2 linked regions of the Macaca fascicularis genome follow. The protein of the gene in region 1 binds, or shares a complex with, the protein of each later gene. Links are inferred from orthologs where the notes say so. Each region holds a gene or a part of one and is shown on either strand. Other genes may lie near its edges.

Evidence for each region. The genes of interacting proteins can lie anywhere in the genome.
Region 2: ARPC4 (region 1) and ARPC3 share a complex: the UniProt entries of both Homo sapiens proteins name them as parts of the arp2/3 complex. The link is inferred for Macaca fascicularis from reciprocal best matches to the Homo sapiens genes ARPC4 and ARPC3.

What each region holds. Positions count from the first base shown.
Region 1 is NC_088376.1:148,053,848-148,059,346, reverse strand, and holds the start of ARPC4 (actin-related protein 2/3 complex subunit 4), read right to left. Parts: upstream 3,733-5,499; 5' UTR 3,724-3,732; coding exon 3,556-3,723; coding exon of another isoform or gene 3,549-3,555; intron 1-3,548. Other genes in the region: TADA3 (transcriptional adapter 3), read left to right, coding at 5,268-5,474. UniProt on the Homo sapiens protein: Actin-binding component of the Arp2/3 complex, a multiprotein complex that mediates actin polymerization upon stimulation by nucleation-promoting factor (NPF).
Region 2 is NC_088385.1:117,307,360-117,312,078, reverse strand, and holds the end of ARPC3 (actin-related protein 2/3 complex subunit 3), read left to right. Parts: intron 1-1,043; coding exon 1,044-1,112; intron 1,113-1,545; coding exon 1,546-1,672; intron 1,673-2,023; coding exon 2,024-2,118; intron 2,119-3,021; coding exon 3,022-3,084; 3' UTR 3,085-3,348; downstream 3,349-4,719. UniProt on the Homo sapiens protein: Component of the Arp2/3 complex, a multiprotein complex that mediates actin polymerization upon stimulation by nucleation-promoting factor (NPF).

The sequences.
Region 1 (5,499 bases):
ATCTTTTTTTTTTTTTTTTTGAGACGGAGTCTCGCTCTGTCACCCAGGCTGGAGTGCAGTGGCCTGATCTCAGCTCACTGCAAGCTCCGCCTCCCGGGTTCACGCCATTCTCCTGCCTCAGCCTCCCGAGTAGCTGGGACTACAGGCGCCCGCCACCTCGCCCGGCTAGTTTTTTTTTGTAGTTTTAGTAGAGATGGGGTTTCACTGTGTTCACCAGGATGGTCTCGATCTCCTGACCTCGTGATCCACCCGTCTGGGCCTCCCAAAGTGCTGGGATTACAGGCTTGAGCCACCGCGCCCGGCCTTTCATATCTTTTTAATTTTTATTTATTTATTTTGAGACAGAGTTTCGCTTCTGTTGCCCAGCCTGGAGTGCAGTGGCGCGATCTCTGCTCACTGCAATCTCCGCCTCCTGGGTTGAAGCCTTTCTCCTGCCTCAGCCTCGCGAGTAGCTGGGATTACAGGTGTACACCACCATGCCCGGCTAATTTTTGTATTTTTAGTAGAGATGGGGTTTCACCATGTTAGCCATGGTTGTCTTCAAATCCTGACCTCAGGCAGTCCGCCCACTTCAGCCTCCCAAAGTGTTGGGATTACAGGCGTGAGCCAATGTGCCTGGCCTTTATTTTTTTTTTATTTTATTTTTGAGACAGAGTCTCACTCTGTTGCCCAGGCTGGAGTGCAGTGGTACAATCTTGGCTCACTGCAACCTCCACCTCCCGGGTTCAAGTGATTTACCTGCCTCAGTCACACAAACAGCTGAGATTACAAGTGTGCAGCACCGTGCCTGGCTAACTTTTGTATTTTTAGTAGAGACGGGGTTTTGCCATGTTGCCCAGGCTGGTTTCAATCTCGTGACCTCAAGTGATCCGCCCATCTCGGCCTCCTAAAATGCTGGGATTACAGGCGTGAACCACTGCACCTGGCCTCCTTCATGCCTTTGTAAAGTGATTTCTCCTTTATTAGGCTGTAAACCTCGTGGTCAACAGACCATATTTATTTTACTCACAGCTATATAGCCTCCAACCTAGCTCAGTACGTAACATGTAGAGTGTCTTACTCATTTCCTGTAGAATAAATGAGCAAAAGAAATAATTAAGGTTAGAGTAACACAAAAGGACAGCAAGAGTTCCAGAGTAGTAATGAGTACAATGTTTCTGTATATGAGAAGCATTTTAGATTCACTAAATGAGGCTGCAGTGGTAGACTGAGGTCAGATCATGGGGAATCTTGAATGCCAGACCAAGTTTAGCTTTTCTCTTAAGGGGGTAAGGAACTACTGGGGCTTTCTGAGGAGGAAGTTCATGACTGCAGCTGCATGGTAGCTCTGTGAAGAATGATTTGGAGAGGGAAGTGAGACATACAGCAGACTGTGTCACCAGCAAAGAGTATCACAAGTGTTGGACTGACATTAGATGGAGTGGATAACGGAACTGAAAAACAACTTCCCAGGGGCTTATGCCTGTAATCCCAGCACTTTGGGAGGCCGAGGTGGGTGGATCACCTGAGGTCAGCAGTTCAAGACCAGCTTGGCTAACATGGCAAAACCCTGTCTCTACTAAAAATACAAAAAAATTAGCCACGACGGGTGCCTGTAATCTCAGCTACTTGGGAGGCTGAAGCAGGAGAACTGCTTGAACCCAGGAGACTGAGGTTGCAGTGAGCCGAGATCTGGCCACTGCACTCCAGCCTGGGCGACAGGGAGAGACTGTGTCTTTAAAAAAAAAAAAGAAAAAAACAACTTCCAACGAACTATGGTCCGGTCATTCAATTAAATACTACTTAGCAATAAAAAAGAGTAACTATTGATACACACAACATGGTTGACTCTCACATGTACTATGGTAAGAAGGTACATTTAAAAGCCTGCATACTAAAGCATTCCATTCACATGACAATCTGAAAAAGGCAAAACTATAGGGGTTAAAAAAATCAGTGGTTGTCGGGGGTGGGAAGGAGGAAAGGTGTGATTACAAAAGGGCTCGAGGGAATTTTTTGGGGTGATGGAAATATTCTGTATTTTGGTTGTAGTAGTGGTTACATAACTTGACTTTTTTTTTTTTAAGACACAGGATCTTGCTATATTGTCCAGGCTACAGTGCAGTGGCTATTCACAGGCGTGATCACAGGGTACTACAGCCTCGAACTTCTGGGCTCAAGTGATCCTCCTGCCTAAGCCTCCTGAGCAGATGGTACTACAGGTGCATGCCACCATACCCAGCAAGTTTTTGTCAACACTTTTTTTTTTTTGAGATGGAGTCTCGCTCTGTCGCTGGAGCGACAGGCTGGAGTGCAGTGGCACGATCTCGGCTCACCGCAAGCTCTGCCTCCTGGGTTCACGCCGTTCTCCTGCCCCTGCCCCTGCCTCCCGAGAAGGTGGGACTACAGGCGTCCACCACCACCCTCCCGGCTAATTTTCTGCATTTTTAGTAGAGAAGGGGTTTCACCGTGTTAGCCAGGATGGTCTGGATGGCCTGACCTCGTGATCCGCCCACCTCGACCTCCCAAAGTGCTGGGATTACAAGCGCGAGCCACCGCGCCCGGCCTTTGGCAATAGTTATAGACAGTAAACCTAAAAAAGGTGACTGGCTCCGTGACGCCTGTCCTTTCATGAATAAAACAGACGTAGTCTCATACAATACCTCAAAAAACTTAAATTTTTAAAAATCAAGACGCATGTGCTCCATTAGAAAAAAAAAATCCAGATTTCTAGCAGGGATACGAGTTCACAAAGTTTGCCAGGATAGGGAACTCAGGAGGAAGAGCAAATTTAGAATGGAAGATGAGTTTTGAACTAGAGGTGTAATTTCAAGGTCTCTTCAAGATACCCAGGCAAACCTTCAAAGAGAGCTGAGAAGCCAGATTAGGAGTCATCAGAGTGAAGAAAGTCATCGAAGCCAGCAGACTAGATCGGTATCACCAGGGAAGGTGTGACGATGAGGGAGGTGGTCATCCAAAGTCACAACTCCCAAGAATACCCACATGTATGAAAAAGGGAGGACTTTCAGGAAGGGAGGGATGAGCAGTATCACAGCTAACAAACACTAGGGCTGACACAGTTCAGTTCTGACCAGGAGGGGCCTGAATGGAAGCAACACGAGAGATCCTCCAGTGGGGTGGAAGCAGGGCTGGAGGTACCAAGAGTGGGATAAGGAAGTGTGGCCGCCTGCCTTAAGCAACTGTAGGGTCAGGAAGGCAGAAGACAAAGGGCGTATTTAGTGAAGCTCTACTGTGGACAGGCAGATGGACCCGCTACATGCCTCAGCGGCCCTTCGACGGGCTAAGAGGCCGACTACGTACCCTCGAAACGCTCCAAAGAGCCTAGGAAGCCCCACTTCCAGCTTCCTCCAGGGCTCAGTAAAAGCCCCTACCTGCTTGGAAGGCTGATCACGAAGCCGCAAGGCCCGCTTCAAACCAGGGAGTACCCCTACTCGCCCCTTCCTCACCTCGGGCCCCCGCCCTCTTTCTCCCACCCTCATGGTGTCCCCACAACCCCCGGGCATCCCTCAGCCCCGCGCCCCTGCGGCAAAGCCACATCTCCCACCGACCCACTGCCCTGAGGCTGAACAGCTGGGGGTCCCTGGCCGGGGGCCCGGCTCTCTCACCATCGCGGGCGCTGGCTGGGCCGGAAAGCGGAAGTACGGAAGTGGCCAGCCCCGCGATGCCTGCCCTTTCGCGAGAAGCGCAGCCTCTGTCTCCGCCCGGACTTCCGGATGGTACCATCTATGCTCTGAGCGGGATAGGGAGCCCTTGCGAACGCTTGGCCCTTCCGGAAGTTTTCCACCTAGGGCTGTCTCGGTATCTTTAAACTCTTGCACTCGAGTCACTACTTAAGCTTCTCCAGGAATGGGAGCAGCTCCCCTTTGTGCCTTCGGCCTTCTTGTTACCTTTGCCACAGCCTCCCCCCAGGTATGCAATGGTACAGCCCAGCTTCAGATTGGGCACCAAATTAGGACAAGCTGAAGCGGAGGAGCCCTTCGTTTCTTCCGGTTCTGTGCCCCCATCCTTTCTCTCGCCCCTCCTACCCGCAGCTCCTGGGGCTCAGCGGCGCTAACTGCAGCGCCGAGATCTCCGCCGCCAAGCCCCGCCTCCCGCCTCCCGCCCCGGGCTATGCCCTGGGGCGCGCCTGAGGCCAACCACCCGCACCCCACCTCTAGCGGGCTTGCTCGAGGCCCACCTTCTCCCCACCCCCGGCAAACTTCAGTAGGCTCGCCCTCGCTGACTCCCCGCCCCCGCGTCAACTGCAAGGGGCCCGCCCATAGCCAGTTCCGGGGCGGTTGCTCCCGTCGACCGGAACTCCCCGCCCCCTCCCGCGGCCCTGGGGCCGTAGGAGGCCGCAGTGAGGAGGTAGAGGGGGCGGGGGTCGCGCTAGGGTGTCCCTAGAGAACGAGGACTCTGAAGGCGGGACATTTGGACGACCCCCGGGCGGGGCCAGCCATTAAATAGTCCCATTTCTGTGCCAGACACTGAACTGGGCTCTTGACGGGCATCATCTCTTAATCCTCAGAACATCCCAGGGAGGTAGGTACCGTTGTTATCCCCATTTTTCAGATTCAGACTTTTAATGGGGAAACAGACCGAGACTTCTTTTGTTCCCATTTTACAGATGGAAAAACTGAGACTCAAAAAGGTTAAACAACATGTTCAGGGGCACATAAGTAGAGAATGGTAAAGCCTGGACTTGAACCCGGGTCTGTCTGGCTTACCAGCCCACGTTCTAAACCACTATTAGTGACTAGAGAAGGGAGAAAGGTGGAGTAGGATAAGAAAAGAGGCCAAGAGTCCCAGAGAACATGGTAAGAATGGGGTGCTTGGAACTCAAAGTCTTAGCAGAACCCAAGAGAAATAGAAGGGAAGGAAAGAGCATCAGAAAGGCAAGGCAATGCATAGTAATATAGCATGGTGATCAGGGGTGCAGACTCAATATAGCGGGGTTCAAATTGCATCTTGGAAGCATAGGCACATACCCACCCTTACAGAGTCTCAGTTTCTTTCTCTGTAAAGAGATCACAACGGTCCTTGTTCATGGTGCTGAGTGAGAAATTAAGTGAGATAAGCTGATAAAGTGCTTTGCGCCTAGCTTGGTACACAGTTAAGTGCCCTGTGAGTAGGAACTGTGCCATCAATTTTGTCAGTAAGGGACTGAAGCCTGGCTTGCTTGAGACTGTCCCTGGAGGTAAGAAGCCCTTGGGCTTTTCTCAGACCCCTTTGTCTCCCATCAATGGCCCTGTCCTCTCCAGCCCCACAGGATCCCCATATCCTGGGCCATGAGTGAGTTGAAAGACTGCCCCTTGCAGTTCCATGACTTCAAGTCTGTGGATCACCTGAAGGTCTGTCCCCGCTACACGGCAGTGCTGGCGCGATCCGAGGATGATGGCATCGGCATCGAGGAGCTGGACACCCTGCAGCTGGAGCTTGAGACCCTGCTGTCTTCTGCCAGCCGGCGCCTGCGTGTGCTTGAGGCCGAAACCCAGGTGATACCCCAGAGAGGGGCCATCA
Region 2 (4,719 bases), on another chromosome or scaffold:
CCTCACCTCAGCCTCTGACTAGCTGGGACTACAGGTGTGCGCCATCATGCCCAGCTACTTTTTGTATTTTTTGTAGAGATGGTGTTTGCCCAGGCTGGTCTCAAATTCCTGGGCTCAAGCAATCCACCCACCTCAGCCTCCCAAAGTGCTGGGATTACAGGTGTAAGCCACTGCACCTGGCCTAAATTTGTGTAAAATTTGACCCAAAGTCCATGCCACATTTGATCAACTTTCATTTGTCTTCTCCACATTTTCTTTTTGGTTAAGTCAAGACATTGACATTATGGAGTTCTTTGGGAGCAAGTCAAATGTGAAATAGTTGCTTCCTCTTTTAGAGTAATAAATATTTCTGTTCTCAGCGGAGACCCTGAAGTGAAAGGGTTTTTAAAGATTAGCCAACCATATGGAGCAGCTCAGGCTTTCCAGGCAGCCTTGTTACTTCTCCTTCCTACACAGTGAAGGGCTGTTGACACAGATCCTTGGGAACCCCGGGACAAGAGAGAGCAGCCACTCAGACAAGCGTAGTGGCTCATGCCTGTAATCCCAGCACTTTGGGAGGCTGAGGTGGGCAGATCACTTGAGGTCAGAAGTTTGAGACCAACCTGGCCAACATGATGAAACCCTGTCTCTCCTAAAAATAGAAAAATTAGCCAGGCATGGTGGTGGGCACCTGTAATCCCAGCTACTTGGGAGGCTGAGGCAAGAAAATTGCTTGAACCTGGGAGGTGGAGGTTGCAGTGAGCCGAGATTGTGCCACTGCACTCCAGCCTGGGCAATAGAGCAAGACTCCGTCTCAAAAAAACAAAACAAAACAAAAAAGAGCAGCCGCACAGCTCAGAGTGGGGCTTGTGCCTTCCTCCCAGGGACAAATGGAAAAGGAGACTGAGGAGACTGTGCGTTTGGAGAATAGGAGTTTTGATGTGATAGTGGCTGTCCTACCACTGCATCCAGTAGATAATCAGAAGACAAAGATGGAATTCATTCATTGCATATCATTGTTATGTTTTGATAACTGTTTTTAAGTCTTCTTTTTCTCCCTGTAGAATGAAGCTGATAGGACCTTGATATATATAACTCTCTATATTTCTGAATGTCTGAAGAAACTCCAAAAGGTAATTAAACTTGGATGATTATATATCAGGAAAACAAATTGCTGAGAGGCATTTACCCTCCCAGTCATCTGGGATTTGTTGAGACTTTAAAGACAAGTAGAAAATATTTCCTCTGACTTACAGCATGGACTTAAGAGAAAAATTTGAATTTAGTTCTCTGAACTTGTAGTATAATTGACTGACACAAAGATAAAAGTAGTGATGTTTTAAGCCTTTGCATATATTTTCTCAAGACAGAAATCTTGACAGAGAAATTCCTTTTAATCCCTTGGCTCAAGGGTTCTTAACCTGGGGTCCAAGGATGGAATTCTTTTCCCTGTAAAATATGTGTGTGTGTGTGTGTGTGTGTGTGTGTGTGTGTGTGTGTGTGTGTGTGTGTGTGTGTATGTGTGTGTATATATATATATATATATATTTTTTTTTTTTTTTTCAGTGCAATTCCAAAAGCCAAGGTGAAAAAGAAATGTATACATTGGGAATCACTAATTTTCCCATTCCTGGAGAGCCTGGTTTTCCACTTAACGCAATTTATGCCAAACCTGCAAACAAACAGGAAGATGGTAAGAACAGGTCTCTATCCTCTCTCTATGGCACAAGAAGATTTTCTCCATCTGACTTCCTACCACCCCTCCTTTTCTTGCCTTGATTCATATACAGATTGAGAGTGAAATGATAGGAAGTACATTATCTTATTAGTCACTCTCACAAACAATTCTTGGCAACAAGGATGACATGCAGAAAATCTTTTGAACAAAAACAAATGTAGTTATAAAACTCTTTGGACTGTCATTTCTATTTCATATCCTGTTAGAATGTATAAAAATGTATTACCACAGTGAGCATACAGACCTGCAACCAGTACATTTGGGATGTATTTGCAAATACAGTTTTTTAAAATTGTTCTGTTTTAGAAGTGATGAGAGCCTATTTACAACAGCTAAGGCAAGAGACTGGACTGAGACTTTGTGAGAAAGTTTTTGACCCTCAGAATGATAAACCTAGCAAGGTAAGACCCTCTTCTTGCCTGCTTAATTGGTAAATCACCTTTTATCCAATAGCCACCATTGAACACACTAAGGTCTTCCATTGCAAGAATATTTTTAATTTCTGCATTGCAGTGTTGCTTAACTTCCAGTATGTGTCTAGTATGTAATATGAGTTTACTGAATCACACTAAATAATGAATTGCAGGCCGGGCACAGTGGCTCACGCCTGTAATCCCAACACTTTGGGAGGACGAGGCAGTGGATCACTTGAGTTCAGGAGTTCGAGACTACCTGGCCAACATGGTGAAACCCCACCTCTTTTAAAAATATAAAAAATTAGCCAGGCATGATGGCACACTCCTGTCATCCCAGCTACTCGGGAGGCTGAGACGAGAGTCACTTGAACCCAGGAAGTGGAGGTTGCAGTGAGCCAAGATCATGCCATTGCACTCCAGCCTGAATGACAGAGTGAGACTTTGTCTAAAAAGAGTTTATGGCCAGGCAAAAAGAGTTTATGGCCAGGCGCGGTGGCTCACGCCTGTAATCCCAGCACTTTGGGAGGCCGAGGCAGGCGGATCACGAGGTCAGGAGATCAAGACCATCCTGGCTAACACAGTGAGACCCCATCTCTACTAAAAAATACAAAAAATTAGCCAGGCACGGTGGCGGGCGCCTATAGTCCCAGCTACTGGGGAGGCTGAGGCAGGAGAATGACATGAACCCAGGAGGCAGAGCTTGCAGTGAGCCAAGATCGCGCCACTGCCCTCCAGCCTGGGCAACAGAGCTAGACTCCATCTCAAAAAAAAAAAAAAAAAAGGTTTATAAGAGATTTCAGACTGATATGAAATTTTATTATTAAATAAATGCGAATTCTATTGTAATTTGACTCCCACCATTCATTCTTTGTTGTCCCCTCTTGTTAGTGGTGGACTTGCTTTGTGAAGAGACAGTTCATGAACAAGAGTCTTTCAGGACCTGGACAGTGAAGGGAACCCGGGCAGCCACCGTCTCCAGAGCCCTGGGCAGCATTTTCCAGCGAGATGTACACAATCTTTTGCCTTTATTTCGTAAAGTTTTATACAGAAGAGAGAAGAGCATGTCTTTACTTGAAAAACTCTTGATCAGTAATTTGGGTGGGAGACAAGAAAATGGGTTATCAAGGGTGATTTGAAGTTTTCTGCAGCATTAAGCTGGCACTTAATAAGAATAAGTCATAATAAAGAAATTTCTAACATTCCATGTAAGAAAAACTTTATTGCCTGTCTTTGACATTCACTTACAATTTGTTTTAAGATAAAATTCACATTCCATAGTACCCTTTTAAAGTGTACAATTTACTTTTTTTAGTATATACATGAAGTTTTGCAACCATCACCACTAAATCCAGAGCATTTTCATCACCCCAGTGTAATGAACCTGCACACTTTAGCAGCCACCCCACCCCACATTCCTCCCCAAGCCCCTGTCCTTCCCACTCTCCTCCCAGTATTAATCTACTTTCTGTCTCTATGAATTTGCTCATTCTGGATAATTCATGTAAATTGAATTTTTTATACAACATGTGGCCTTTTATGTCCAGCTTCTTTGACTTAATGTTTTCAAATTCACCCATGTTAGAGCATATACATCAGTGCTTTCTTTTCTCTTTTTCTTTTTTTTTCTTTCTGTGTATGTGTACGCAATAAAATATACTAATATGGCTGGGCGCAGTGGATCACGCCTGTAATCCCAGCACTTTGGGAGGCCCAGATGGGCGAATCACCTGAGGTCAGGAGTTCAAGACTAGCCTGACCAACACAGAGAAACCCGGTCTCAACTAAAAACACAAAAATCAGCCGGGCTGGGCGCTGTGGCTCATGCCAGTAATCCCAGCACTTTGCAAGGCCCAGGTGGGCGGCTTACCCGAGGTCAGGAGTACAAGACCAGCCTAACCAATATGATGAAACCCTGTCTCTACTAAAAATACAAAAATTAGCCGGGCATGGTGGCATGCGCCTGTAATCTCAGCTACTCGGGAGGCTGATACAGGAGAATCACTTGAACCCAGGAGGCAGAGGTTGCAGTGAGCCGAGATCGTACCATTGCACTCCAGCTTGGGCAACAAAAGCGAAACTCCGTCTCAAAAAAAAATAAATAACTCAGCTGGGCGTGGTGGCACATGCCTGTAATCCCAGCTACTCGGGAGGCTGAGGCAGGAGAATTGCGTAAACCCAGGAGGCAGACGTTACGGTGAGCCGAAGGTTGCAGTGAGCTGAGATAGCACCATTGCACTCCAGCCTGGGCAACAAGAGCAAAACTTTGTCTCAAAAAAAAACGAAACAAAAACCTAAAATTTATGGTGGTACTTGAACGACTAAAGTATTTGCAGGCCGGGTGCAGTGGCTCAAGCCTGTAATCCCAGCACTTTGGGAGGCCGAGATGGGCAGATCACGAGGTCAGGAGATCGAGACCATCCTGGCGAACACGGTGAAACCTCGTCTCTACTAAAAAGTACAAAAAACTAGCCGGGCGAGGTGGCGGGCGCCTGTAGTCCCAGCTACTCGGGAGGCTGAGGCAGGAGAATGGCGTAAACACGGGAGGCAGAGCTTGCAGTGAGCCGAGATCCGGCCACTGCACTCCCG